Linked DNA regions of Arabidopsis thaliana. The protein of the gene in region 3 interacts with the protein of the main gene of each other region in a pairwise test. Each region holds a gene or a part of one and is shown on either strand. Other genes may lie near its edges. The genes, in order: NFXL1, MYB6, AT2G27930 and NAC036.

Region 1 (9,952 bases), on a different chromosome or scaffold from region 3:
TTGAGCAAATGTGTAATGCTTTCCTGTGGTCTGGAGCTCCAAACTCTGCTAGAGGAGCAAAAATCTCTTGGAACATTGTGTGCTCTCCTAAAGAGGCTGGCGGGCTAGGCTTGAAGCGCCTCTCCTCCTGGAACAGAATTCTTGCTCTGAAGCTTATTTGGCTTCTCTTCACCTCTGCTGGTTCTCTATGGGTTTCCTGGGTTAGACTGCATCTCATTGGGCGCCGGAACTTCTAGGAACTTAATCCTTCTCTGTCTGGCAGCTGGATATGGCGTAAGTTGTGCAAGCTACGACCTTTTGCTCGTCCTTTCATCATTTGTGAGGTTGGATCCGGGGTGACTGCTAGTTTCTGGCATGATAATTGGACTGATCATGGGCCTCTCCTTCACCTGACTGGTCCTGCTGGTCCTCTCTTAGCCGGCCTGCCTTTAAATTCGGTTGTCAGAGATGCTCTCCGCGATGATACCTGGAGGATCTCTTCTAGTAGAAGCCGCAATCCGGTAATCACTTTGCTTCAACGAGTTCTTCCTTCTGCTGCGAGTCTAATTGATTGTCCGCATGATGATACTTACCTTTGGAAAATTGGTCATCATGCACCGTCAAATAGATTCTCTACAGCGGACACTTGGAGCTACCTTCAGCCCTCTAGTACTTCAGTTCTGTGGCATAAGGCGGTTTGGTTTAAGGATCATGTTCCGAAACAAGCTTTCATCTGTTGGGTTGTGGCCCACAACAGATTACACACTAGGGACCGGTTAAGGAGATGGGGCTTCTCTATCCCGCCCACTTGTGTTCTGTGTAATGACCTTGATGAGTCTAGGGAACACCTTTTCTTTCGGTGTCAGTTTAGCTCAGAGATTTGGAGCTTCTTCATGAGAGCCTTAAACCTCAATCCGCCTCCTCAGTTTATGCACTGTCTGCTTTGGACCTTGACTGCTTCTCGAGACAGGAACATCACGCTCATCACCAAGCTCCTTTTCCACGCTTCTGTCTATTTCATTTGGCGTGAGCGCAATCTTCGCATTCACTCAAATTCTGTTAGACCAGCTCATTTGATCATCAAGGAAATTCAGCTTATCGTTAGGGCTAGGTTGGACCCTCTGTCTCGGTCTTCCCGCGTCGTCTCTCAGCCAGGCTCTTCTCTTCTTGCCTCGTGGTTTGGAGTGTTTCAGCGTTCACCTGTCTCTGGTTAATGTGGAGTTTATTTTGCAGGTCCTCTGTTGGCTCAGCGTTGTTCTCCTTTTGTTTTGCTGAGATCTTGTCGTCCTTGGGTTCTCTCTGGGCCTCGTCGCTGGGATTCAGGTTCTCGGTTTTTTCTTGTTCTGTTAGTTGTTGGGCCTGCGTGCCTTCTCTGGGCCTGCGTGCCTGTTGTATGGCCTTCTAAGCCTTGTAACCTTTTTCGTTTTATTGGAAATTTATGAAAAAAAAAAAAAAAAAAAAAAAAAAAAGAATATGACACATAAAAGAGTTTTTTTTTCACTATTCCTAATGATTTCAGCACCTAACCGTTAATTGCAGAGGAGAAAATGATTTCAAGATAAAGAGTACTAATGAATGAATAACCAACCTTAGTGTTGCATCATTATGTCAAGAATAAAAGAGAAAAAAAAAAGCGTTACAAACATGCCGTTTCACAATAACTGAAGTTACTGAACAATGGGATGTTTTTTTAGTTACTACATAAATAAACCAAACGCACGCCAAAGATGCCAAAACAAAAACGGCACGTCGTTGGCTATCACCTAAGCTTTGAAATGGACTCATCACAGCATACGCACACGCATACAGTCTCCATTATATACGTCTGAACAATCTGCCGTTTTCATACATCACAAAGAAGTTGAAAACCAATCACAGTCGTTGGGTATATGCTCTCACTCACATACCTTCTCCCAGTCATCCACCACTTCTTCACCGGAGCCTTCCACCGGTTGTTTACCGGTAGTTTTTGAACTACTGCTCTCTTCTATCTGAGCAATTGGCTCCAAAGTGGATGTGCTGGCCTTCTTGGGCTCTAAAACACTCCAACGGTTAACCGAGGTAACAATTGGAGAGTTGCTCTTTGCTGATCTCAGCGCAGAGGCTTGAGCATCTGTAGATGATCCTCCAATGGGGGAATCTTCAGCTCCCCAGGAGTCATCACTCTCCTGAATCACAGCTCTCCTCCATGGATTTCCTTTGTCAACATCCCACGCCGAGCTGCCAGGTAATTTTCCCCATACATTATTAAGTGATGGAGATTGCCCGCCGCTCTGGACAACCACAGCTCCATGATATACTGAACCGTGCTCAAGCCTCCTCATGGCAGTGGCAGCTCGGGCATGGTCGTGGAACACCGCTAAAGCATTCTTGTCATTCAGCCAAACAAGCTCACATTCACCCCCAAATCTCAGTACCAAGGCGCTGATATTCGCCTCTCTCGGAAGATCCAGAAAAGAAACCACAAGTCCAGGATCCATATCCACCAGCGAATCATAGAACGGTGGGTGTGGCCCTCCTATCGAGATAGCACCACCCCTAGCTCCAATGATCCTTGTTGGCGGTTTCGATTTTGCTGTTACGTGAACCACTGTAAACCGTTTTGGCTCCCACCCTGCGTTGCTAACACCAAGTTTCCACCTCTCAGCTATAAGTCGAACCGTGTCTCGTTTATCCTTCTGCATCGGGCAGAAGATATGGACCTTAAGGGCACTTGTGCTTCCTCTTGCTTTCCCAAGTACCAAGAACTTGCAGCGCTCTTCAACAGCCAGTACCCACTTTGGATCACGCCTATAAAGGTCTGAAATAATCTCTGTCATAGCAGAATTCTCGCTGAAATGTAATGCCTCCAGATTTGGGGGAGTTATATCAAATGCATCTTGAAGAACCCGCTTACGCTCCAGCTTCGCACACTCATCATCACACGAAAGCTTTCTCTGCCCGAGGGGGATACGGTTTCCGCTCGATTCAACAGGCTGAAGTGGAGCTGGAAGCTTCTGTAAAACAGAGGCTTCATCATAGGCCGCACAGTAAACATTAGAACCGTTGGCACTTCTTCCCCCAGCATCACAAGGGACCGTAGCGGTTATACGACCACATGAACAAGTAATTGTGACTGAAAATTCACATCTTAGGTCAGGGCAAGGCGCAGAAGGATGGCAGAGTGCTGCACAAGTGTGTCTGCAATCTGTTCTAGGAGCACCACATTTCTGTCTACACGTAACACGCATACCTGCTTCAGATTCATTGAAGCTGTCACAAGGCTCCGGGTGACAAGTTCTGGCACAAGCATGCATGCCACAACGCCTCGTCTTTCCACAAATCTTGGTACATCTAATGTCTTTCAACCCACAGGGTATGTTTCTGAGAACCACATGACCACCAACGCACTTCTTTTCCACAGGGGTAGAACAAGGAGGACAATCTCCAAAATGGCATCCATGCGTATCAGAATGGCCACAAGGCTGAGGAATCGGGCATGGAAGCTGACAGCTAGGAACAGGTGTCCCACATGATAGTGGAGGAGGAATCGAAGTTCTTCCACAAGCACATGTAAGATCAGTGAAGATCATCTCGAGACAAGGAGGGCAATGTCCACTGTGACATAAAGATTCACAGGAATGCTGCCCACACCTTAGCTTCTTCTGACAAGGTATTTGGCAGACATGTGGGTCCCAATCGCCAGATAAATCATTCTTCTTCCCGTTCAAGAGAGGGCAGCAACGCTCGCTACATCTATGTCTCCCACAGTTCTTCTTACGTCCACATGGCTTAGCGCACACAAACTTCTCTGCCTCTGAGGAAGTTGTTATGTAGCATTCCACAGCCCTGGATGTTGACCCACACCGGCATTTCTGGTTAACTTGGACTAAACAAGGCGGGCAATCACCTGCATGGCACATCTCATTGCAAGTATGTAACCTACAAGGAAGAAGCTTCCTACATACATTTGAACAAGAAGGAATTGGGTCCAAGCAACTCTGCCTGATCTGTTCTTCTAAACGCGTATTCCCACAATAGCATGTCTTAACTCTACTGGGCAGTAAGTCACAGTCCCCGCAAGGTCCAGGATGGCATACCTCGGAACAGAAATGATTACCACATCCAAGAGGCTTCCCACAGTTAAAACTGCATGAATAGACACCATCTTCTGCTTTCAATTCCCCCTTCACATTCATATCACCGCAAATGACAGTCTCCACTTTTTTCTTGCAGAAACATGTGGCATTTACCAGTACCTGACAAGGATCACAAGGGCCAACATGACATGTCCTTTCACATTGATGACGCCCGCAACTAAGAAGCTTATCGCAACGCTGCCCACAAACAAGATCAGATCTCCGCTCGGAGCATCTAGTAGTAACCATCTTTTTCCCACAAGGACAGCTACGAGGTGGAGCAAAGGCTTTACAGGGAGGACATGGACCAGGATGACACTGCAAAACACATACATGAGGACAAAGATCCTCTTCAGTCGTCTCAGCAGGTGCAAACTCTTTCTCCAGCGGTTTCCCACATGGTTCCCCGCATGAGTGTGGAGTGAGATATGGGTCAGACGGTGGATCTCTTCTCTTTCCACAAAAGCACCGATAGGAAATCTCTTTAGATGATGTCAACTGTACAGATTGGCAACCTGGACATCTCCAGTTATCACCTTGGTTTTTCTCAGCTAGCAAATCAACTGAAGTTGGTGCTCGAGCCCACCTCTTGATACAGTTGATATGGAAGATGGAATAACAGCTGGAGCATGACCAGATATTGGCAGACCTCCCAACCTTGTCATAACAAATCATACACTCAATAGAACTCTTGACAAGCTTCTCCTGTAACTCTTGAACAAGTTGAGGCAAGTTTGGGTCTGTCAACACAACATTCTCCTCCTTCGCTACCCTTTTCCCCTGATTCACAGGCCGCGTCCTAGATGCAACTCTTTGGCGATTATCTGGCAGAGTTCCAGAAGCATTATTCCTTCTTTGTCGATTAGGTGGAGGTGGACCAATGTTATCACTCCTTTGGTGCTGGTTCTCAGGAGCATTATTTCTTCTATGTCGATAAGGTTGAGGTGGACCACTGTTATCACTCCTTTGATGCTGGTTATCAGGCGCATTATATCTTCTATGTTGATTAGGTTGAGGTGGACCAATGTTATCACTCCTTTGATGCTGGTTATCAGGCGCATTATATCTTCTATGTTGATTAGGTGGAGGTGGACCAATGTTACTACTCCTTTGGTGGTGGTTATAGGACGGAGGACCAGAAGCGTTATGCTGCCTTTGCAGATAAACAGGACGGGATGCAGAACCAGCATCAAGGGTTTCAGAATTTCTATCTGTATTAGGAGGAAGCAAAGGCTCATTTACCACCACGCTCGAGGTAGATGAGTTTCTAGGAATCCACGTTTGCTGATGATTGAATCGATGAGACCTATCATCGCTCCTATCTCGCCTGACTTGAAAGCTCATATTCTGCCTTGACTCCACAAACACAGAACTAGATCCTGTACCCGTCACTGTTGGAGCAATGGTGCTTCTGTACAAAAAGAAAAGCAAATGAGAAACATTCAGATTCTAGCAATGTCAAACATTGATGGCCCAGATAAATTCACCACACACGAAAATACGAGCAAACCAATCTACGTAACAATAAAATCTTACACAGCTACAACGATGTTGAAATTAACTAAAGCCAAATCAAACGAATCGAAAATTGATAGCAAGACGCCTAAACTATTCCTCCTTCTTTGGGATCTAAAAAAGGGGGTAAAATCAAAGTGCCCTATTTTATCATATCTAAGAAATTTTGGTGACCAACACCAACCAACACACAAATTTTGGCTTCGATATTGCTGAATCAAAGAGAACGATAAAACAAATGATTAGAAGCTCACAACCAAAGAGGGGGAAAAAGTTTGGTACCTGACAAGAATATACGAAAGCGTATAAAGAAGGAAACAATCGCCGGAAGAATCAAATACGCAGGAGATTCCGATTAGTCTCCCTTGTTTTCTCAGGGAGAGAGAGAAAGAGACTGTAGGAGAAAATGGAGCGATGAGGAAGATTATATATAGCGACTGAAAGTGATAGACCGCCTTGCTCCCAAAGGAAATAAAAGATAGAGAGAGAGAGTCGCGTACGACTTTTCTTTTTCACCGGCTTGTCTGAATTATTTTATGCTTGACAAACCCTCAAGAACCGCCTCATCCCTAATGGGCTAACAATGGGCCTATACTAATTGACTTAAACCAATCTAAACCAGTAATTTAATTTGCAGATGATTTCGGTTAACTTTATATATATTAACTTGAGAGTTTTGAGAGACTTGACTACAGGATACAAACTACAAAGAAAGTGGTCAAGACTCAGAATCGGTGAAAGATGGACTCTCTAGGTCAGCCATGCTTGCAGAGGCAAATGACTCGAACGAGTCCACTGTGGAGAGTGAAGATGTATCTTCGGAATCTGAGTCGTCATCCATCTCAGGGAGGACGATGTGATGATCGTCTTCTTCTTCTTCTTCACACTCATATTCTTCCGGTTCTGAAGCATCCTCAGACCCCATGAGTAGCCTGTTGATAGCTGACTTGGCGGCTTCTGTGAACCACTCTGTCTTCGGGAGTGAGCTGGTGAAAGAGAATAATACACTTTTTAGGTAATTCGTTATGTTGAGACCGAGTTGGAAGAAAATTCAAAAAGAGTGTTGTTTCAATTACCTTTGTGGGTTGATGCCTCTTTCCGAGAATATGTTGATGGCTCGATTGATCACCACTGATGCATGGTTCTGAACTACTTTAAATGGATAACCTGCAAACCTGGCTATCTCCACTGTGAAGTTCATGTCGAGGATCAACTGCAACACGTGACAACAAAACTTCAACTTTCAACCCCAATCTTCTCAAGAAATGAACTTCAACATCAAGTTTCAATTGTTTCCCATTTCAAATTTTCAATCTTTGACTGCTGAGCCTGAGATCAGAGAATAGCTGAGGTATATAAGAGTGGTGAAAGAGAGTGTTTCTACCTGTTGCAATCCAGATGGCTGAAGTGGATTTGACTCGTCCTCGAATGCACTCCAAAACTCCTGCTCGTTTGATAGCCAGATTATAACCGTCTCTGTTAATCTCGCTAGTAGAATCTTTTGCAGCTTCTCTTTACCAAGCAGAACATCCCCAGCAATTATGGCCAACTGTTGTAGCTTAGAAAACAATGCCTGCATAAGAACAGACACAGATGATTCTGTGTGCTAAAACTTATAAACTGGGAACTATAAAACTAGATCAAAGAAGAGGGCGAGACCTGAAACGGTAAAGACGGCAGATGCAAGTCATCTGGTGTTTCGGTTAAATAAATGAGTGCGTCTAATCGCGTTAGTCCTTCCCTAGAGTAGATGAAGCTCAAGACAAACTGCAGACAGAAGTAGTTTCTGAGTTTGTCAAATGCTTGAACCATATGGCGTTTCCATTCTTTCAGTTCCGGTGCAGCACTACTGTTTAGAGCGGCACTATTCTCACCTTCTCCTCCGCCATTTTCAATCTGGAGTTTCCAGACTTTAACAAGTGATCTTGGTAAAAGTTCGTCAAGTATTGTAAACGCAGCTCCAAGAAGCGCAAGCTGCTCAGAATCTGTCTCAGCTCTAGCGAGTACGGTATTATCTTGGAGCTCAGGTAGACCATCCTCATCTGAATGGCCAGGCAAGGCTTTGATCAGAAAGTCGATGTATTTATCATATAGTTGCAATATCCTCGTTAGTACACTCTCACCAAAGTGTAACACAACTAGGTGTGTTAACTGCTCAAGTATGTCCTGAAAGAACAAATAAAGCTTCTATAAATTTATGCCAACAGAATCAAAGAAAATAGTAAGATCAGTGTTCAAAATCAACTTACTTGCACAATTTGCATGAATCGAATGCTACAATCAGTCATCATAGTATCTGAAGCGATAGCGAATTCAGATAATATTGTCACAAAGTCAGAGGGTGATTCCAAGCCCTCATCAGTTTCATTCAAGTCAAAGATAACCCTTCGAGCCCGTCTAAAATTCAACTCCAACACTTCTTCAACATAAGGTCGGAACAGCACCAAAAATAGCTTAGACAGAAATAAGCCTTGTGGTTCCAACACTTTGCAATAGTTAAGACAATCTTGAAGACATATACTGGCTGCCCGCAATGCAGAAGCTGTTTCGGAAGGAGAAGCGTTTTCTTTAACCAACCGCACCAAATATTCAACTTCCCTCTCTGCCCATTGAACAACTTTGTTGGAATATGCGGGATTATCATCGTCACCAAACATGGCTGCGGATTCTTTTGTAGCCACTGAGATGTTAGAGAAAACAAGCTTAGAGAGAGTAGCAGGAAACGTGTTTGGGCAAGTCAAACATGAAGGGAGAAAGGCCTCGATTCTTCTGCGGAGGCTTGTGGCGTAAAACTTTAGAAGCAATTGGTGAGCTGAAGGTCCTTTTCCAAGTCTGATTAACCCAATCAATGCATGCTTCAATTCAGCTACACAAATCGAGGGTTGTTTAGCGATCCTAAGGAGCTGATCCTCAAGAACCGCCTTTCTTTCCATAAAGGCAGACTTGTAAGAAGACATCTCGACTGATCCTTTAAGATCTGGACTGCTTCTTTCCTCAGCATCCATTGCCTCCAGTGCTTCATCCACTTTATGTTCAGCCAAAAGAAGGTCAATTTTCTCCAGGAACTCAGACTTTGGATCGGTTACTTCATTAGGCAAGGGGTCCTCTTCGACTTCAGCGTCATGTACATCACCAGGTAATCGATTCCAATCATCCATCTCACGGCAAACTCCAGCCATCAGATCCTGCACAAGAATCCCCTGAGAAGAAATATGTTTCCGTAGCTCAACCAACTCATGCTCCATCTCCACCGCTTCTTCAGATATTCTACACAAACCAAGCATAAAGAAATGAATCTCAGAAACTAGCACAACGGATACAAAGAAACATGACGTAACCTTTGAATCCGGAATTGCAGATTCAAAACTCGCAAATGAAATAACAAAGAGAAGTTAGTAGCTTTTATACATTACCTTAAGAAAGCAAGGTACTTGGTACGCATATCACCGCACATATTTTCCACAGCATCCTTTAAATCCATAAGCTCACAGCAAAGCTTTCTAATCCCCTGCATTGTTCAACATTACCAGATCAACGAGCATAAACCCATGGACCAACAGGAGAAGTAATCATGAACAATCGTAGGTTCAACAATTTCAATCCAAGACGTAAAATTCGAGGGCTACTGATTCTTAATCCAGATTAATTCGAAAGAACCCATTTGAGATAAACTATATCCGAGTGCAATGAATCAGTTCAGAGAAGGAAACAACTCAGAAAAAAGAAAAGGAGAGACCTTTTCGGTGAGAGACTGGTGAACGGAATCGATCTTTGACTGAGGAGTGATGCTTTCTATAAATGGGTACTCGTCGTCTTCCTCGCTGCTCTCCATGTCTCTCGCTCTATCTATTTCCCCTTCAGTTTTCCTCGGAGTCTCACTGTCTCAGACACGGTTGCCGAAAGAAGCACGATAGTGATGCTTTGGACTCTCTCTGCTCTCAAGACACACAGATTCGTCGGAATTGTAACATTGCTTTTTTTGTACACAAAACGGCATGTAGTGTAATATCTCAAGCCAAAGACGGCACGATGGTTCTTATGGTTTTTGTCATACCTTTTTCGCCATGAAGAAGTAAGTCTACACTATTTCCTAAACTTCTACTACAATTTTAATCTCAAAATCAAAATTTTGTTTAACCACAATTCACAAAACGAAATATCTCGTTGACTTCAGGGTTGACCAATTCATTAAAATTCAAACCTATATGATGACCAATACAAATTGCCTGCTCGAGCTGGAAATAGAGCACAAGAGGTAGTAAAATAAAGAAAAAGAAAGGTTTTGACATTTGATGCTGGTTTTCTCCGGTTCGCTCTTAATTCCTGGGTATTTGATTCGC
Region 2 (6,621 bases), on a different chromosome or scaffold from region 3:
TGACCACGAAGTAGCTCCCGTACTAAATGATCAAAATGAAGACAATGCACTAGGACAAGGCTCATTAGAAAATCTCCATCCCATGATTACAAGATCAAAAGATGGAATTCAGAAGCCAAACCCCCGGTATGCTCTCATTGTCTCTAAATCCTCTTTTGATGAACCAAAAACTATTACTACTGCTATGAAGCATCCTAGCTGGAACGCTGCAGTTATGGATGAGATAGATCGCATTCACATGCTAAACACTTGGTCTCTAGTTCCTGCAACAGAGGACATGAATATTCTGACATCCAAATGGGTTTTCAAGACTAAACTCAAACCTGATGGCACCATAGATAAGTTGAAAGCTCGTCTAGTTGCCAAAGGGTTTGATCAAGAAGAAGGAGTCGACTATCTTGAGACATTCAGTCCGGTTGTTCGAACTGCAACTATACGTCTTGTTCTCGATACCGCTACTGCAAATGAGTGGCCTCTCAAACAGCTTGATGTGTCCAACGCGTTTCTCCATGGAGAATTACAAGAACCGGTGTTTATGTTCCAACCCTCTGGTTTTGTTGATCCTAACAAGCCTAATCACGTTTGTCGGCTCACCAAAGCTCTTTATGGTCTAAAACAAGCGCCTAGAGCCTGGTTTGACACCTTTAGCAACTTTCTTCTTGACTTTGGCTTTGAGTGCAGCACATCTGATCCTTCCCTCTTCGTTTGTCATCAAAATGGGCAAAGTCTCATACTCCTCTTATATGTCGACGATATACTCCTCACAGGAAGTGATCAACTGCTCATGGATAAACTTCTTCAAGCTCTCAACAACCGCTTTTCGATGAAAGATCTTGGGCCTCCTCGCTATTTTTTGGGTATAGAAATTGAATCTTACAACAATGGTCTATTTTTACATCAACACGCATACGCTTCCGACATTCTTCATCAAGCAGGCATGACAGAATGCAACCCTATGCCTACCCCTCTGCCACAACACTTGGAAGACCTCAATTCAGAACCCTTTGAAGAGCCAACATACTTTCGGAGTTTAGCTGGCAAGTTACAATACTTAACAATCACAAGACCGGATATTCAATATGCCGTGAACTTCATCTGCCAAAGAATGCACGCTCCGACCAACTCTGATTTTGGCCTTCTCAAACGCATACTCAGGTATGTGAAAGGAACTATCAACATGGGGCTTCCAATCAGAAAACACCACAACCCTGTTCTTTCGGGATTTTGCGATAGTGATTACGCTGGCTGCAAGGACACTAGACGCTCCACTACTGGTTTCTGCATCCTCTTGGGATCTACTCTGATATCTTGGTCTGCAAAGAGACAACCCACTATCTCTCACTCCTCAACAGAAGCCGAATATAGAGCTCTTTCCGATACAGCTCGAGAAATCACTTGGATTTCCTCTCTTCTCCGAGATCTTGGAATCTCTCAACATCAACCTACACGAGTGTTCTGTGATAACCTATCTGCTGTCTACCTCTCTGCAAATCCTGCTCTTCATAAACGATCTAAACACTTCGATAAAGACTTTCACTACATCAGGGAACGTGTGGCTCTCGGTCTCATAGAAACGCAACACATCCCAGCAACTATTCAACTTGCTGATGTCTTCACCAAGTCACTACCGCGACGGCCCTTTATCACGCTTAGAGCCAAACTCGGCGTGTCTGCGTCACCGGTCTCACCCACGCCAAGTTTGAAGGAGGGTGTAGAAGACAACCCAATAAATAGAACGGGCTTTGACAAAAACAAAGACATGGTAGCCCAAACTCAACAAAGCCCACTACAGAAGCCCAGTCAACATATGCAAAAGAAGATAAAGACCAAAAGCTCTTTACCTGCAAAACAGAAGACTGTCACTAATACGGAGAAGAAGACAATAACACTTGAAAACAAATTCAAGCCGTTGCAGTCGCTGCCGTTGCAGTAATTCACAATAAATAGCTATTGATTAAAGATAGCATTGTCAAGGATTCTAGATTGTTCTAAAGAAGTCTATAAAAGAAAGATGTAAAACTCCATTGAAAGATAAGCAAAATAAAAACATTTTTTGTCAAGAAATAATCACAGTTTTATTTTTCTCTTCAGGAACAACTAAAAAACTGTATTTAACTAAAACAATTCAGAACTCCTTCATACGACGTCGTTCTTTTGTTAATTTTAAATTTAATTAATGGGAAAAATGTCATTAAAATCTTCAACTCATTGCAAACATTGATTTAAATCCTCAACTCTCGACGAAACAAAATAAATATTTGACTTTCTAAATAAATATCTAATTTTTGTTGACCTGGCGATATTAGACACACTGTTAAGTAAATTACTAGATCCCGTTAACGGAGTTAATTTTTTTGTTAACAGAGGCCCATTAATGCAAAACGTTATTGTTTCCAACAACAGAGTGACGTCGTTTTGTAATAATGACTGAACTAAATTCCCAAATTCAATCTAAGATCTCTAAATCAAGCAAAATTCCTATCTCTAAATCCCCATATGATTTGAAACTGGAGATTTAATTGAGCCGTTATGACAAAAACGATGACGTTTTATTGTTAGAGTAAACGTTGTCGTTTTCAATCAACGAGTATGTTAACACACTAAACGTTCAAGGTCTATTAACCTACTGAACATCATGCCTAATATAGTCATGTCAACAAAAGTTTGATATTTATTTGAAAAGTCAAGAAGGTTTGGTATTTATTTGGAAAGTAACATAAGTTTGATATTTGTTTCGTTCGCCGAGAGTTCAAGATTTAAATCAAAGTTTTCAATAAGTTGAGAATTTTAATGACATTTTTTTCCAAAAGATAACATGTTTGATAAATATTATTTTTGCATTGTATTTTTCTTAACTACCAACTAAATTATAAGAACAGTGAGAGAAAGAAAAAAACAAAAACCAAAATCTAAGGAGAAAAAGTAAAGAGACAAGAAAAAAAGAGAAAAGAAGGTTACTTACTTACCTACCTAATCTCCATTACCCCACACACAACACAGCAAAGCACAGCCTCACTTTATCTCCACATAGTCACATGTACATATACCAAACTTAGTCAAAGTCTCCTCCTTTTTATATAACCCACAAATTGATCTCTTCTCTCTTCTCTTACACCATCTTCTTCATTCACCATGGGAAGATCTCCTTGTTGTGAAAAAGCTCACACAAACAAAGGAGCTTGGACTAAAGAAGAAGATCAACGTCTCGTAGATTATATCCGTAATCACGGTGAAGGTTGTTGGCGTTCTCTTCCTAAATCCGCTGGATTGTTGCGTTGTGGTAAAAGTTGTAGATTGAGATGGATTAATTACCTTCGTCCTGATCTTAAACGTGGTAATTTTACTGATGATGAAGATCAAATCATCATCAAACTCCATAGCTTACTCGGTAACAAGTACGATAACTTTTTCCTCTCTTTCTCTTCTTCTAAAAAAACAGAGTGAAAATAGAAAAACAGAGTCACTTTTTTTTTTCTCCCTACTCTTGTTTCTAGGAAAAAGATTTCAACTTTCTAGGAAACAGAGAGAAAATAGAAACTGGGTCACTTTGTTTTCCTGCTCTTTCTTCTTCTTTGATCTTTCCCAGGAAAAAAGTTTCAACTTTCTAGGAAACAGAGTCGTTCACTTTTTTGTTTCCTCTGTTTTTGTTAAAGCTTTCCTCTGTTATTGTTATTCATATGAATTTGAAATGTTTTGTTTTGCAGATGGTCATTGATAGCTGGAAGATTACCAGGAAGAACAGATAACGAAATAAAGAATTATTGGAACACTCATATTAAGAGGAAGCTTCTTAGTCACGGTATTGATCCACAAACTCATCGTCAGATTAACGAATCCAAAACGGTGTCGTCTCAAGTTGTTGTTCCTATTCAAAACGATGCCGTTGAGTATTCTTTTTCCAATTTAGCCGTTAAACCGAAGACGGAAAATTCCTCCGATAACGGAGCTTCGACTAGCGGCACGACGACGGACGAGGATCTCCGGCAGAATGGGGAGTGTTATTATAGTGATAATTCAGGACATATAAAGCTGAATTTGGATTTAACTCTTGGGTTTGGATCCTGGTCGGGTCGGATAGTCGGAGTCGGGTCATCGGCTGATTCTAAACCGTGGTGCGACCCGGTGATGGAGGCGCGTTTGTCACTGTTGTAATAATTTGTCAAAAAAATCCCAAAAAATGGGTTTTGTTACTTCATTTTTTTTTTTGCTTGAGTCCTTTTGGATAAATATAGAAATTCTTTACTTCAGTTTCTTTGGTATTTTTGTTTTAGTTTTTGTTCATATTACCTTTTGAAGAAAAAGAAAAAAAACGATACATGGTTTCCAAAATAATTTTATGGAAATATATAAGAATATTACACCATTGTCTAGGAATGCAAATGAGTAATTTGAATTTTATTTTGACAATATTGTTATAAAATGTAGAAGTATAAATGTAGGAGTGAAATGTGAACATGGTTGGTCCCTTTTGGACTCTTTCTTATGGATCAACCGTTATCCATTTTTACATGTTGGTATAGATCATAGTTTTTATATGTTTTTTGAAGCAAAAGCTTCTAGAAACTTGAATTAGGTTATAATGGGGACCATATAGTTGCAACTAGCAAGTTTCAACAAATATCTCGTTCACTATGTTAACTATTTTTTTTCATTAGGTTTTCGGTGTTAGTTTATATATAGTGCTAGGACACATGGTCCTCATCTCAACAAACAAACTTCTAGTTTGTAGAACTTTTTATTGTTTAGGAAAAAACTAGAATTGAGAACTTCTATTAATACTTATAGTTGTAGCGTAATTTGGTGCCAACGAAATTAATTAAAAGAACTACTATAGACGTAAACATTGAAAAGGAATGTGAAGAAGCAGCTGATTGGAAGAGATACAAATTGATTACTAAATAAAGAAATATAGAATAAGAGAATAAGATAAGGGAGGAGACATGTGACATGTTTTAGGCAGGTAGGTGGCAGAATCTATCATTAAAACCATATTGTGTACCAAAAAATAATTGACTTTACCTAATCTTTAATAAGATAAATATTTTATATATCAATACTATAACCTTATAGATTATCCGAAACAAATTTGACATAGCCAAGTCTCGATAAAAACATTTATCAATATGATCTTAAGGCAAAGCAAAATGTTTTGTCTTTAGACAAATCTTTGGTCGACGTCAGAACAAGAAAAAAAAAGAAAACAAGAATTGGTTTCGTAGAGATATTATCATATTCATACGCATAAATATATCTAAACAATTAAAGAAACAATAATATAAATGTAAAACAAAAGAGAGAATCATGTGCGTAAGAGGAGGAAGAAGGAATGGGAATGTGAGATTTAGGTGAGATCCAGCCAAACATGACTTCCTCTTTTCCTGGAAATTAAAAAAGAAGTTATCACTCTCATTTTTAATATTAATAAAATTAAGAAAATTCTCTAACGAGTTTAAGTTATTATTTTATATGAATTGATATACCTTTTTACATCTTCTACATAAACATAGACTATAGTCTTCATAATTTTGTAAACTATCAATAGCTAAGTCTAATTAATTTTAGGATCATTTGCAAAACTAACCATATTTGATAAACTATTGAAGTATATAGGACTATATATTTACATGAATTTGCAAGAGATTCATTAAAATCTTCATTCCAGGACTCTAAAATTATAGATCATTTACTAAACATAATTCTTATTCCACGGAACAAAATTGAACCAAAGACTTACAATTTCAATAGTCTATAGTCTAAGAACTAACCTAATCTGTTACTCAACAATTGCAGGCATCGATCGATTAGGTACGGTTAGATTGAAAGATACATCATTACTCCACTTTTGTAGATTATTGGGTCGAGTCTGTCTAAATCTAGGGTTGGAGAAATAAAGGTTTTTTTTAAGCTTTTGACGAGCCCTACTTCTTGAGAAATCAGCAAATAGTGTATGACAAACTACACACATGAAATAAAATACAGTATAGAACAGTAAATTCTTTTAAAAAGATATCCTAAAGTCGTCACTTTAACTAATCGATCATGAAATCCTCCTTAAAAACTTTATAAATCCCTTTAAAACACTTGTAAACTTTTTTAAAATCCTTTAAACCCCTCTTGTAAATCTATTTCCCGCAAAACTTTTCAGAATCAAGTGTCCCGTCAAAAAATACAAGATCACTTCTCTTGCAAAAAGGAAAAACTTTGCGGAACATTTTTGATAAAAAAATACACTTTTTCATTTTTGATTTCAATATTTTTCAAATAGGGGTAAAATATTAATTAACAATTGAAAGAGAGCAAAAATAAAAATGGCCAAAAGTGGGGTATTTTTGAGAGTGAGGGCTTTTCTAACACTTACTCATTAATAGATAATGGATATACAAATATATATTTCTATTTCTTAAATATTTTTAAATCTTAAAGTTTCTACTATCTAGTTACTAAAATGTTTTACAAATATGTCATTTCCAATTTTAAAGATTTATTTAACTTGTCCTAATATGATTAAATAATGTTTTTTCTACTAATACATTATAGACATATCATTTCTGATTATAAAAATATATTTCTATTTTTACCGACATATAATTTCAAATTAAAAAGATAAATTAGTATTTACAA
Region 3 (7,224 bases):
ATGATAGGCCATGGCTTGGAAGGATTTTCAACTCTATATGGACTTTTATAATGCCACCAAAACATGTGTGCTTCTATTTTCACGATTTTGATTTAGAAAAAAGAGTCAAAACAAAACCCATTTAGTCATATCTAACATAAACCAATTGATTTCTTGAAAATTTTGGTAGAAGAAAGAGAGATAAAGAACGTACTTGGTCTAACTTCGACGTATCCCCAAGCTTCGGATCCATCGGAGTTAATTTTTCTTACATGTTTGGTTTCTCCATTGGTACATGAAACAATGAGACATAGAATCACCAGATAAACAACTGTTGTCTTCATTCAGACGATTCTTTGTGGATCAATTTTCCTATCTTGTGATTGTGGGAGAGGGAGAGAGAAAAGAAAATTTGAGAGGGATAAAGACACTATAGGAAGCAATATATTATGGAGTGTCAAGTCATTAAGTCAATGCTATTGGTTCAACCTTATTTGGTATATATATACTATATATTATATAATGAAAATTCACTAGTAAAGATAGAATGTCAGCTAAATTCTTACTGTAATTATTAACCAAAAAGTAAAAGAAATATTTTCTTCCATAAGAGAACATTAATATTTTTGTTTTGTTTTTCTGACAGCAATAGGTTGTGATATTTTTGGATAATTTTTTTTGTAGCACAAAATTTTGGTCATCCACATTCTGTTCTTGTTTCTTGGCTTCGTAGATTGATTGCTAGATCGTAGATAAACGTGTACGACGGAATAAAGTATTGTGGTCATGAAAAATATCGGTATGGTTATTTCCGATGAACCTCCACCACTCAAGGAAAAATGGATTCATTCGATTTGAGGGAAACAGAAGAACATCACGTAAATTATGTTATTTATTGTTTTTGAGCGAGTGTTGTTTTAGATTATTACTTTTCTTAAGACGAAACTAGGTTTGATTAGCCTTTTTTGTCTATGAAGTGTAGATTGCTACTTATAGTGTTCTGCCTAGTGTCTATACTGGATTTTGGATATCGGGCCTGAGTTTATGGGTGGATATTTACTTGTTGATCTTTTGCAAGACAGCAAGAGCAACGTAGTAGTAAAAACAATCTCCTTGGTTTGCTTCTTAGATGATGCGGCCGGCACGAATGCAACTATGACACCAAAAAAGTGGTTTCCACTCATTGATTACGAATAGATTCATGCGTAAGTCCGTTATCCTTTTTAATAAATACCGTAACTGAATTTATTCTCAAATAGTAAGAGATGATAAAGCAATTTGATATTTAGCTATTCGGGGAATTAACGTAAGGTCGATGCAACAACTACTCCACATGTTGGCTATCAGTATTGCGTCACTTTCTTGAGCTAAAAAACAGATAAGAGGAAAATAAAATTTCAAAAAAGTACATCTGAATATTCAGGCAATTTAATATCTTAACTCATACGTACATGGCCAAACTTAGCTTTCATGTCAGAAGTTTGATAAAAGTTTTCAATTCCAAGATAGTATATCTATTCACACAAAACATTCCGATTTTAAATTATGTTGTTACTAAATAATAATAATAATAACGACGCAACTATAATTAATTAGGCTAACTATAACCATATTTGTTTTATAAAAACAAATTAAAAAAAAAATTAAGTTAGCATACGAAAAAGGTGACAGGCCAAAACACATTCAAACCCATCTGAATTCACATTTTCTATATTTTTTATAACAAATAATTTTCTTGCATGTTTTATACACAAAGAAATTGACATCTTATGTTTCTTTTTGTATAAAATAGCATGTCAATTTCTACAAGGTAAAGGATTTTTCCAAGTAATTATCCATGGATTGAACCCTAGATTCGTATTTTCTAATTGTTATTCTTTATTTCGAGCACAAGACATCGCATAATTTTTTTTGTCAGTTAATTTTTTTTCGCATATATAGAACCAATCAATCTATACTCTATATGTGAATACCCGAACGCCTAACCTAATAAAAGCATACTAAACTGAAGGCAAAAAAGGTTCAAAACCAGGTCCATTAGAATGCCCAATAGAAAAAGTCACTTAGGGAAATATCAACTAACTCAAAAGGAATAAGAAGAAATGGGCTCCAAACTCAATCACTGACACACTGGTCCTGATCGGATGCTCTCCATCTCAAAACGGCACGCCCAACCACGTAGGCTAGCACCCTCCCTAAAGAGTAATTAGCGGGCATTTTCCCCCATCATATTTGAGGTCCACCGATTAGTGTGAACTTTAGTTTACGTGTTTGTAATATTTTTTTTTGTCTGTAATATTTTAATTTATTTTTATTTTGTTCCAAATGATCGATCTTCTCAACTAACAAATCATTCATGCAGTTTTACTTGATGAGGGATTTCATATACAATTTTACAATTGACACTACAAAGAGTCAAAGATTTACATTAGAAGGTTCTCTCTACACCATGCTAATGATAGACAAATTTACCCTTTGACAGACCAGACCACTCATCAGACGTGGCCGTCATCAGCCGAGTTAACTCCTTGTAATCTTTCTCAAAAGCAGTATCGGTTAAAGATAGTGAAATGAGGAATGTCATCACCTAGAAAAGAGATTCAAATTTTGCATGAGGGGATAAACAGTGTTTGAAACTCTTTAAACTAAGTTGAATAATGTGGTTGTTCGAGCCAACATTCCATCTAATGTAGTTTAATGTTGGCTCGAACAAAAAGATCAACCTTACAAACCAAAAGATTAATACCAAGTGGAAAATATTGATAATTTATGTATGTTTCTTTTGGACGTACACGTTTCAATAGTTTGAAGAATTTCTTAGGTAAACCATAAATTATATATGTATATATATATATATATATATATATATATTCTTCTTCATTTATTGATATAGATATGTCAAAATTAGAGTATTACCATTATAATTTTTTGGTTATAATTAAATTCCAAGTTGGAACAAATTTTGATCTCTTTAATTTGACATATGTTGATAATGTGTGTTTCTTTTGGATGTACACGTTTCAATAGTTCGAGAAATCTATTATTCAAATCATAAATGTTAATTAAATATATTTTAGAAACATTTTTTGAATTTAATTATTTTCATATATATATATATTAAATTTAAAGTATTATCATTTAATATTTTGGTTATTTTTGTAGTCAAAGTTGGAACAAATTTTGATCTATATACACATTTAATTAGCTTGTAATTTTGTCATCAAACTCATTTACTCAATGGCCTCATCCAACGGTTAGGAATCAACCTTAACCAAACATCATATCTAATTATATATCCTTTCCCTTTCCTCCCCCAATAAACTATTAACAATAAATATTTAATAATTAAGAGAAGAATTGAAAAGATATCTACCAATCCTAAATAAGAAGAAAAAAACATAAAATCTTCATTTATCAACAATAAAATAAAATTTATATCTTCCTTTCTCTCTTACCCTTAAAATCTGATTTTTCCTCCTCTTGTCTCAAAAATCAATCATCTAATACCCTTTCTCTCTCCCTCTACTGATCATCTTCATAAAGGTAATGCAAATGGCAAGAGCATGTTCTTCGTAATTTATTACATTGTTCATAAGGTTTTGTCTCGCTCTTCCCTTTTTGTATATATTGTAATTATTGTCTAAGAAAAACAAAACAGGAGAGAGATTAATGGAGGAGCCGAAATGGCTCGAAGGTCTCTTAAGAACAAACTTCTTCAGCATTTGCCCTCGACATCGCGAGACACCGCGAAATGAGTGCAACATGTTCTGTCTCTCCTGTCAAAACGCTGCGTTTTGCTTCTACTGCCGCTCCTCCTTTCACATTGATCATCCCGTCCTTCAGGTCCTTCATTTTCTCAACACACAATGCATACACATATATATATATATCACTTTTGACTCAATCCAATTCTTTATCATTAACATTGAGACAGATAAGAAGATCGTCGTATCATGATGTGGTGAGAGTATCGGAGATAGAGAATGCATTGGACATAAGAGGAGTGCAAACTTATGTCATCAATAGCGCGAGGGTTCTCTTCTTAAACGAGAGACCTCAGCCTAAGAACTCCTCCCATGGTGCCGCCTCCTCCACTCCGAAAACCATGTCCTACTTCTGTGAGACATGTTGCAGAACCCTTCTTGATCCCTTTCGCTTCTGTTCCTTGGGTTGCAAGGTTCGTTTTCCTACACCTTTTCTCAATGCAAAATTCCTTTTTGTAGCTGGATGGATAAATCATGAGCAAAAACCTGTAAACTTCATATCATAGAAAAACGAATGCATAGTTATAAGTCAATCTATCTAACGAGCACTTTACAACTGGACCAACAAAATTGGTTTATCATATTTTCATCATTATTACTAATATCTTCGCATTTATTTGTCCGATATAAAATGAGGAATCGGTTTAAGGATACACCGTATAATGTTTAGTTACTTGTATGGTAAATTCATTGAATCAACTATATTCAAACTCGCTTAATACATGTTGTTTGCCTCATATAATGTATCTTAAGAAAATATATACGAGGTTAGATGTTTGTATATATGTATATGGTACATTTTGCTCAAAAAAAAAGTATATGGTACATTTGCATAACGGAAATGTATGATGTGATCATAATAAAAATGTCAGGTTGAAGGAATGAGGAAGAATAAGGAAGAGGAAGAAGAAAGATTGCGTAAAGAAAGACAACAAGAAACGCACAAAGGCACGCATCCTCCAACTCATACCTCTAATTCTAGGCGACGAAAAGGCATTCCTCATAGAGCTCCTTTTGCCTCCTAATTTAATCAATCTTTTTCAAGAAATAAAATAAAACTTTTCTTTAACTTATTTTTATCTTTTTAAAATCATCAGTTAATGGTCCACCCAAACATAGCATAGTATATGCGTATTGGGTGGGTGTATTTATATATTCCCAATTTGTACAATGTCCAGCTCACTTCTCACAATCCTCTCACATGGAAAACCAACAATTTGTATAGAAGAAAATCCTAATTTCCCTATATTTTTTTTTTGTAAAACATTAAATACATTTCTAGCTAATTGTATAACATATATCTATACTGTAGGATTGTAGGATGGACTCTATTTGATATACTAATTAATTTTTGTGAAATATAAGTCTTACCTTTAAAACACATTATACAAAAATTAAGAGTTCAAAAAGACTCTTTGTGGAAGGAAGGAATAACATGAAAATTTAGGCATTAGTTAGACTATGAGAATGTCGGTGGAGATATACTGTATACTTTATTTCCGAGTAGATAATCTAATAACTAATCGATGTGGTGGTTTGAAGTTACCTGTCTCTATATCCATCTAGCTACTAAATATTTTAGTTTAGACTGAAATTGTGTGGGGTTTAGGGATCAATAATTGTGTATCTAAATGGTTTTTTTTTTCTTTTCTTTTTTTTTGGGAAAATATCTAAATGGTTAAGGGACATGAATGTGTATATGTTTTGTATAGACACATGAAATGTTCTTCGACATTAATTCTAAGCTGTTATATAATTAAAATAGTTTGTCGTAGGCGTTAGGTATTCGAAAGGTACAGTTACTTAAAAAAGAAAATGAAACTTTCACTTATTTACATAAATAATTTAAGTGGTAAAATTTTACGTAAAGGATGGTCTTATTTTAGTACGCATCGACCTTAATTTCCTTCACGTTCTACATAATATATTATGGCACTTTAAGAAAAAACTAGGTTATAACATTAATTATGAATTACGTGTTGTCGTTTCTCGAGAATAATTAGAGAATTGTGGAATTGTACAAAAGTAATAATTGATGCATAATGCATTGGTAGTATAATTCTCCAAGAGGAAGTCAAGCTCATGTTGCGGTTGTTGATCGCACTGCGAGAAGCATCGATCTCTTCAGCTTATAGTCAGATCGATTCTTGGATTCTTGATTCAGGAGCCTCTTTCCACACTAATGCTCCCTAGGACATAATGGAGAACTATGTTGCCCAAAATTATGAGAAGATATCTCTAGTAGATGGATTATCTTTGGACATTGTTGGTGTTGAAGACATTAACCTGAAGATGTCAGATGAGCTTGTATGGAAAATCACAAAGGTTAGACATGTCCGAAAGTGATGTGAAATCTATTTTTTGTTGGACAATTTGATGATACATGACACGATATCAATGTTGGTTGTGGAGCTTGAATAGTGACAAAGGGTTCCATGACAGGTACAAAAAGCTATAAAAGAGACACTATTTATATGACCACTAACTATGAAGATATATATAGTTGATGTTGCCGAAAATGCCTAAAACAAAACTGAGTTGTGGCATTATAGATTGAGGCATATGAGCGAGAAATGTATGAATTTCATGGTAACAAATGGTGAATCTCCAAATTTAAAGATATTAAATCACTACATGTATGAAAGTTGCATCCTTGGAAAGCGGAAACGGGTTAGGTTTTGAGTGATGGTAGGAAGTTGAAATCTAAGAAGTTGGAGCTAGTACAAAATAACTTGTTCGAACCTGCTTATGTTGCATCGCTAGGAGTATCACACTATTATGTGACTTTCATTGATGACTCCAGTATGAAGTTTACTTTATGAAGAACAAGTATGGTTGAGATAAATCTCAAATTGAGTGTCTAATATCTGATAATGGTAAAGAGTACATTTGCGGTGAGTTTATAAAATACTGCGCTGATAATAGGATTACAATGGAGAAAACTATTCCTGAAATGCATCATCAAAATGAAAAAGTGGAGATTGTGACTAGAATTTTGAACGAGCGTGCAAAAAACTTGTGACTCCAGTGTAGATTGCCTTTAGATATTTTGGACAAATGAAATCAATACCGCAACCTTCTTGAGGACCGTCTGTTATATTCCAATGGGATTCAAGATCCTTGAAGAAACTTGGATCCATTGAAATAGCCTTGTTTTTGTGGACTAAGATGAGAGAAAAATTGTCTTCTCTTAGCGTGTTATTCATGGTCATTAATTAATTTGTGAATTGAACTTAACTATTTGAATTTTTTATATTGATCTTGACCTTTGACTATTAATTTGATCCATTCATGAGCCAAACATATGTATTTTATGGGTCTCCGTGACATGGTGAGCTTCCAAAGAAATAAATTGGATTCATTGTGGATGGTACACTAACACTTGAGATTAATGAGAGAAATTTTTTTCAATAAAATTAAATATCTTAACAAATATGAGAGAAGAATATATATAATGAAATTAAATATATTAACAAATATG
Region 4 (6,782 bases), 4.5 Mb from region 3:
TCAAATTTGAAGAAAAAAAAAAGCTTTTCGTTTCACCCATGATGGATTGGGCAACACTGCCAAAGGATCTCTTAGACCTGATCTCCAAATGTCTAGAATCTTCCTTTGATCTCATACAGTTCCGTTCTGTATGTTCTTCATGGCGATCTGCCGCGGGGCCAAAGCGCCTTCTCTGGGCACATAACCTCCCGTTCTTCCCCTCTGATGACAAACCCTTTCTCTCCAATGTAATCCTCCGCGTCGCGCACCAGAGTATTTTACTTATCAAGCCTAATGAACCGCAATGCGAGGCGGATCTGTTTGGATGGATTGTCAAGGTTTGGGATAACATATATGTATCTCGTAAGATGACCCTTCTCAAACCGTTGAGTTCTTCAAGAAACTACTTTCCTCAGCATTTACCTCGTATTTTCGATATGTCTAAGTTTACGGTTCGTGAATTGTGTCGGGAAGTCAAGCTCTATCATCCTGATTACTACTGTGTCCCTGGACACACAGCTTTAGAGTTGGAGTTGGGGAAAACTGTTGTCAAGTACCTAAATGATGACAAATTCGTGTTGCTTACAATTCTTGAATATGGAAAGTTAGCTGTGTTTAGGTCTTGGGATCGAGAATGGACTGTGATCAATGATTACATACCTTCTCGTTGTCAAGATTTGATTATGTTCGATGGACGTTTCTTTGCTATCGACTACAATGGGAGGACTGTAGTTGTTGACTACTCTTCTTTCAAATTGACATTGGCCGCTAATCCTTTGATTGGCGGCGGTGACAAGAAGTTTCTGATTGAATCTTGTGGTGAAATGTTTCTGGTGGATATAGAGTTTTGCCTGAATGAAAAACCGGAATTCACAGGGGGTTTCTATTCGTATTTTAATGAGACCACGGTCAGTTACAAATTTAAATTCTTTAAATTAGTGGAAAGAGAGAAGAGATGGGTTGAGGTTGAGGATCTTGGGGATAAGATGTTTTTCCTTGGTGATGACTCCACCTTTTCCGCTTCAACTGCTGATATTATACCTCGCTGCGTGGGAACTGGAAGCTTCGTGTTCTTCTACACGCATGAGGAATCCTTGGTGGTGATGGATGATCGAAACTTGGGAGTGTTTGATTTCAGGAGTGGGAAAACAGAGCTGGTAAACAAACTCCCTGAATATGCCAAGTTGTTTTGGCCTCCACCTCCATGGATTACTACTTCTCATGAGGTCAGTGGTTTCCAATCTCTCAACCACCCGAATAGAGTGTATTTACATTTGCATCTTACTACTTCTTTTTTACCGCTTGTCTCACTAACTTATGCTCAAATATCTTTTGTCTCAGAGTGTTGAAAATTATACTGGAGAAACATCATCACAATCCCAATCTTGAGTTTAAGACCTTGGAGATGACACTTCAACTTGAATGACAATGTTTATATGTATTTTTCCAACTCTTGTTTTTTCCTAAACAATTTGTATATTCATCTTTCAAAAGTTTTCTTATGTCTAAACCGAAGTCCGCTATACAAAGATTTTGAGGAAAACTGGAAAAGTGATTTTGTGTTAAAATCGAATTAGTTACGAGAAATAAGTCCCAACTAAAACAAGAACTTTATTTCGATGAAGCCTGCTTTACTTTAAGATGGTGTTGATTGGTGAAAAACTGTAAAGATTGGCTATGCAAATGAAGTTGTAACTGTGAATTTAATCACTTGAATTCACAAGTTCTCAGTGAAACAGAGAAGAGTGCATTAAAATTTTGTATGATATGACACAACCAGTGAAATACAGTCACCTTGCAGTAAAAAAAAGCTTTATCATGTATGTGGTGATTTTTTTTTTAATAACCAATCACTTTAATGGTTAAAAAGTTCATTTTACAATTTACAAGTTTGGTTATAAAGTGTATATTAGATGCTTCTTATTTTGGGAAGTTTCGTTAATATTGCTGTGTTCTGTTTACTGAATAATGTTCGGCATTTGAAGACAAAAAAACTAAAAGAAAGTAGCTTTTTCTGAAGTTTCCGAGAAATTTTCATATGTTTGTCATATATATTCTTCCTAGCCCCACTAGTCGAACTCACTTGTTTTTATTGGTGAATTGTTTGGTCTTTTGGTAACAAAGAAAACGATTTAAAATCTATAAATTTTATATCTACATATATCTACTTTACATTTATTGAAAATACAAGAAATATTAGAGTTTTTTTTTCTTAGTTGTACCATGAAATTGAGGTTTGAGTCGTGTTGAGTTCTTTAAATGGAGGTGCTCCAAATTAAGAAAATATATATTGGGAGTCTCTCACTTAGAAAGTAGTATGGGAAAACATATCTATTATTGAACTGCAGAATGTTGATTCAATGATTAAAGATTCCAACATTAAAACCACCTTAAAGAAAAATAAGAAGCCGGTGAGATAACAACACAAACTATTGGTACTACAAGATTTGGCTAAAATAAAAAACACGTTAGTACATAACCTTATAAAACTAATGTAAGAGGCTAAGAGTTCATGCTTTTCTTTTAGATTACACATAATATTTAAAAGCTAAAATGAAATCATTTTAAAGCCTGAATAATTGTTTTTGTCCATTCATATTATTGATAAAAAATGATGTTACATTTTATTTAATTATATATATCCACATCAGTTTTTTTCTTAGTTTTGACTACAACAAAAAAAATAGTTAATTTTATAGAAATTTTTTAAAATATTTGTTTTATGTTTTAGGTTGTGTCCAACAAAGACAAATAACTTCAAGTCTTTGGAGGAGACTTCCCAAGTCAATCTGAGATTAAACAAAATGGTGGAAGTCCCACAATCAAAAAAGTTATATTCATTTTTCACACTAAAATATGATCAAACTAATTAATTACAAAAAAAAAAGAAGAAGAAAAAAAGTGGAGTAAACAGAAGAACCAAGCTCTGGTCCAATCCTCATATGACCATTTCTAATTCTCTTAAGATAAAACCGTGTGGGTTCCATCCACTTTGATCAAGACCTTTCTTCTTCTTTCAAGTAAACATCACAAACCTTTAAGAAATATGAAAGAAAATAAAACACATTATAAAAAATCTCACAAGACTTCAAATTTCAATATGTTAAATCATTCATGCCTCCACATACAGTATTTTTATTTTTCTCTCTTGACTTAGTCTTCTCCATCAAAGTATTGCCCCACAAAGAAAATCTTTCACAACATATTCGGTCCTAGTTGTATATAAATGTGTATTGATTCACCTAAGTGATAACCACCAACAACTTTTTCACTTACACAGCTTTAAAAAGAACCAAACCTTTATAAGTGTTTTTTAGACATTGGGAGAGATGGGAAAAGATATTGAGCTCCCGGGTTTTAGGTTCCACCCGACTGAGGAAGAGCTTCTTGATTTCTACCTCAAGAACATGGTTTACGGTAAGAGATCGAGTGTCGAAGTCATTGGTTTCCTTAACATATACCGTCATGATCCATGGGACTTACCTGGTAAGTACATGGCTTCTTCATTTCCCTAAAGATTCTTTTTTCCTCTATAAGCCGTGTATTGAAAGTCTGAATTTTGATCACAGGTTTATCGAGAATCGGGGAGAGGGAATGGTACTTCTTTGTACCAAGGGAAAGGAAGCATGGGAACGGTGGGAGGCCAAGCAGGACAACTGAAAAAGGATATTGGAAAGCAACTGGATCCGATCGTAAAATCATAAGCTTGTCTGAGCCAAAACGTGTTATAGGGCTCAAGAAGACGCTTGTGTTCTATAGAGGAAGAGCACCAGGAGGAAGCAAGACTGATTGGGTGATGAACGAGTTTCGGATGCCCGATAATTGCTCCTTACCAAAGGTACCTTAAAAACCAAGAGCTTTGTCTTGAAACCATTATGTGAATCAAGAAAACTTGTTGCTCATCTTGTGATCAATTTTGTAGGATGTTGTGCTTTGTAAGATATATAGAAAAGCTACTTCATTGAAAGTATTGGAGCAAAGGGCAGAGATGGAAGCTAAGATGAATCAAACATGTCCTAACTCTCCTCTTTCGTCTTCCGAGACGATTTCTTTCGTTGGTAAAGAAGAAAACATGATGACTTCGTTCCGTGCTCCTCAAGTAATAGCTATGGAAGAAGCAAACAAGATCCAAATGCATCAAGAAAACGCGAAAACCGAAGAGAAACAAAGAGAAGCAGAGACCAAAGAACCTTCTTCATCACTGAAGCTACCGTTTGGAAGTTTACCAGAGCTACAATTACCAAAACCAGGAGTAGAATGGGACCAGTTGTTGAGTATAAGCCCATGGCTCCAGAATCTTACACCAATAGTTAACATATATTGGTAGGATATGTAAAGAACAAATACATTTAAATATTCTTACTCTCGTAAAAAACAGAGCTTGTACCAAATAGTATTTACTAAACTTTTATGTATCTTTTGTAATTTTGTAACATAAGAAAATTTGTAACACTATTTATAGTCATATTTGACGATCATTTCTCTCATACATATAACAAGATAGATTTTGAGTTTATCATTACGTATGTGGAATCAATGGACGTAGCTCTTGTTTTGATCTGAAAAAGGATTGTATCTTGGCCTTACACTGACTTGGTGGGACCTTAGAAGGGATGATCCCACCGTTGACCTCACCGTAGACCTATTAATTTCTCCATCATCCACTTCTTCTTCTGCGTAATTTGCTCAATGTGGGTGACTCACTCGTGAAGGTCCTTGTCTTGTTTCCATCCGTAAACAAATGTGGTTGATCTTGGACGGTTCTCTCGGTGAGTGAAGCTAACGGCCTAATTCTCTGTTTTCGAGAAACAGAGGACATATACCCTAGAGGCAGATTTTACTAGGACTTATCCATGGCTAGCTTACTAGAAAATTTAATCTGTCAGGAGTCAGGACTACAAGAGAAGAATGAAACAATTTGTGAAGTCTCTAAGTCTCTAGGGGGTAGTGGATGGTTACATAATACGTAAGCACACGGACGGTGGAAACTAAAGTTTGATCATTCCTATAATCATACTAGAAAACTGTAGAAATTATCCTTATTTGCATTTCATAATGTGGATTTGGCTTCATCTTGGGTTTTATGTAATCAATGTGTATTGGGATGTGGTTGCTGTGCAGAATGCAGACAAGATCCGGAAACATGCAAGAATGGTGCTGTTATCATCTTCCCTAGGGAGACAAGCAATGCTAGATTGGACATAGAACTATACCAACGCGTTCGACAATTCACATTCACTTTCATGCATGAGATCTGAGTCATATATCTACCAAATAAGGGAAATGAGTTATGGAGGGGAACATTGCAGAGACATTAATGTGGATAATTTGATATTGGAGCCTCATAGCCACCGTGATATCATCATGTCTCTCTTTCATGAAGGTGCATATAAGTATTGACTGGACATGGTGTTTTGGAGATCCAACCTATTCTATGAAAGAAAGCGCGGAGATCTACTGGGAGAGGTCAAAAAATACTTAGCCTCAAGAAATTTCACCAAGAAGACAGTCATCGTCAAAGTACAAGAGTCTTTGACGGTTGCGCAAGCCAAAGATAACAACAATGAAAATTTGGCTGTCTTTGGACAAGCAGAAGCTATTACAGTTGCTCTGCATGATTCTCTACTTAGCTACATGTCTGTATCATAGAATTTTAGCAGATGGTCAGTCGCCTTAAAGCTAATGAAGAAAATGAAAATTACGTGTGAAGAGCAAGCAAACAAATTATCTAGGGTTGACTCCGAATTCCAATCCAAGAAGACCTTGACGATGGAAGATGTTCAGACCCTAGAGTCATCATTCAAATTTTGAAGATGGACTACAATCCCTTTCATATTTTGTATAAAAAGGAAATATAATTACTTGTAAATGAAGCATAGATATATATTGAATACAAAATCTTCTCATATAAATCTGTTTTACCCTCAAGTTCCACTCTTTAATCTTTGGCAATGAAATATTTTCTTTTATGGCAGCGAAATATAACGTTTACTATTTCGACATATCATGTGGTATCATTAATAAGAGACATATTTCTCAACCATTGAGCTACATTAATATTTAAGTATTATATCAGACATAATGTATATATAGTAAAAATAACAATATATAATTAATTAGAAATATATGCAATTAATTAAAAATAACAAAACTAAATAAAATCAATAACCAAACATATACAAATATTAAATATACTTACCATAAATATATATTTTAAAATTTCAAATAATTAATTTTATATGTTAAGATTTCTTCTATATTTGTAAAATTATTCTAAATGTATAAAGTCTTTCTCACATAAATATAAGATTAGTTTTGCAAACAGAATTTTGTTCAATCTTAGTTTATAAATAATTTTATTTAAAAACAAATACATATATTTGATAAATAATTTGTATTTATAGCATAATATGTATTAGATAAATATAAAATACAATTATTCCATCTTGAAATTGGTTTGATATTCATAGTTAGATGGAAAATGTATAAATAGAATCATTTTAATTAAATTATAAGAAAATGTGATAATTGTATTGAATGGTACATATATATTTATATGAACACGATTGCATAAAGTTTAGGTCACATATTTAAAGTGTCGAAATGGATGAATTAAGGATCTTGTCTGAATCCTAATTTTGAATTGGTCCTGCATTTTCAATATTTGATCATAGTAAGTATCGGTAGGAATATACGAAGATGTGACATATGGGAAAACCAAGGGGCAAAACATGAATAATATTGATTTTTTTTAAGGATGGCAGCAATAAATAAGGGTTTTGCGCCAAAACAATTCTTCCAAA

Evidence for each region.
Region 1: the proteins of AT2G27930 (region 3) and NFXL1 interact in a two-hybrid assay, tested with the Arabidopsis thaliana proteins (one large-scale study listed by BioGRID).
Region 2: the proteins of AT2G27930 (region 3) and MYB6 interact in a two-hybrid assay, tested with the Arabidopsis thaliana proteins (one large-scale study listed by BioGRID).
Region 4: the proteins of AT2G27930 (region 3) and NAC036 interact in a two-hybrid assay, tested with the Arabidopsis thaliana proteins (one large-scale study listed by BioGRID).

Annotation. Positions count from the first base shown.
Region 1 is NC_003070.9:3,332,051-3,342,002, forward strand, and holds NFXL1 (NF-X-like 1), read right to left. Parts: upstream 6,035-9,952; 5' UTR 5,895-6,034; intron 5,509-5,894; 5' UTR 5,442-5,508; coding exon 1,887-5,441; coding exon of another isoform or gene 1,875-1,886; exon of another isoform or gene 1,814-1,874; coding exon 1,739-1,813; 3' UTR 1,545-1,738; downstream 1-1,544. Other genes in the region: AT1G10180 (LOW protein: exocyst complex component-like protein), read right to left, coding at 6,331-6,598, 6,689-6,825, 6,997-7,185, 7,272-7,778, 7,862-8,879, 9,026-9,120, 9,349-9,444. UniProt on the Arabidopsis thaliana protein: Mediates E2-dependent ubiquitination. Confers resistance to osmotic stress such as high salinity. Promotes H(2)O(2) production. Negative regulator of some defense-related genes via an salicylic acid (SA)-dependent signaling pathway.
Region 2 is NC_003075.7:5,989,887-5,996,507, forward strand, and holds MYB6 (myb domain protein 6), read left to right. Parts: upstream 1-3,021; 5' UTR 3,022-3,132; coding exon 3,133-3,395; intron 3,396-3,704; coding exon 3,705-4,152; 3' UTR 4,153-4,372; downstream 4,373-6,621.
Region 3 is NC_003071.7:11,888,721-11,895,944, forward strand, and holds AT2G27930 (PLATZ transcription factor family protein), read left to right. Parts: upstream 1-3,376; 5' UTR 3,377-3,522; exon of another isoform or gene 3,523-3,637; 5' UTR 3,638-3,648; coding exon of another isoform or gene 3,649-3,730; coding exon 3,731-4,156; coding exon of another isoform or gene 4,157-4,249; exon of another isoform or gene 4,250-4,615; coding exon 4,616-4,768; 3' UTR 4,769-5,008; downstream 5,009-7,224. Other genes in the region: SCPL51 (serine carboxypeptidase-like 51), read right to left, coding at 1-73, 194-323.
Region 4 is NC_003071.7:7,403,815-7,410,596, forward strand, and holds NAC036 (NAC domain containing protein 36), read left to right. Parts: upstream 1-3,096; 5' UTR 3,097-3,308; coding exon 3,309-3,465; intron 3,466-3,548; coding exon 3,549-3,817; intron 3,818-3,901; coding exon 3,902-4,306; 3' UTR 4,307-4,579; downstream 4,580-6,782. Other genes in the region: AT2G17036 (F-box SKIP23-like protein (DUF295)), read left to right, coding at 39-1,205, 1,321-1,368; AT2G17043 (uncharacterized protein), read left to right, coding at 5,386-5,628.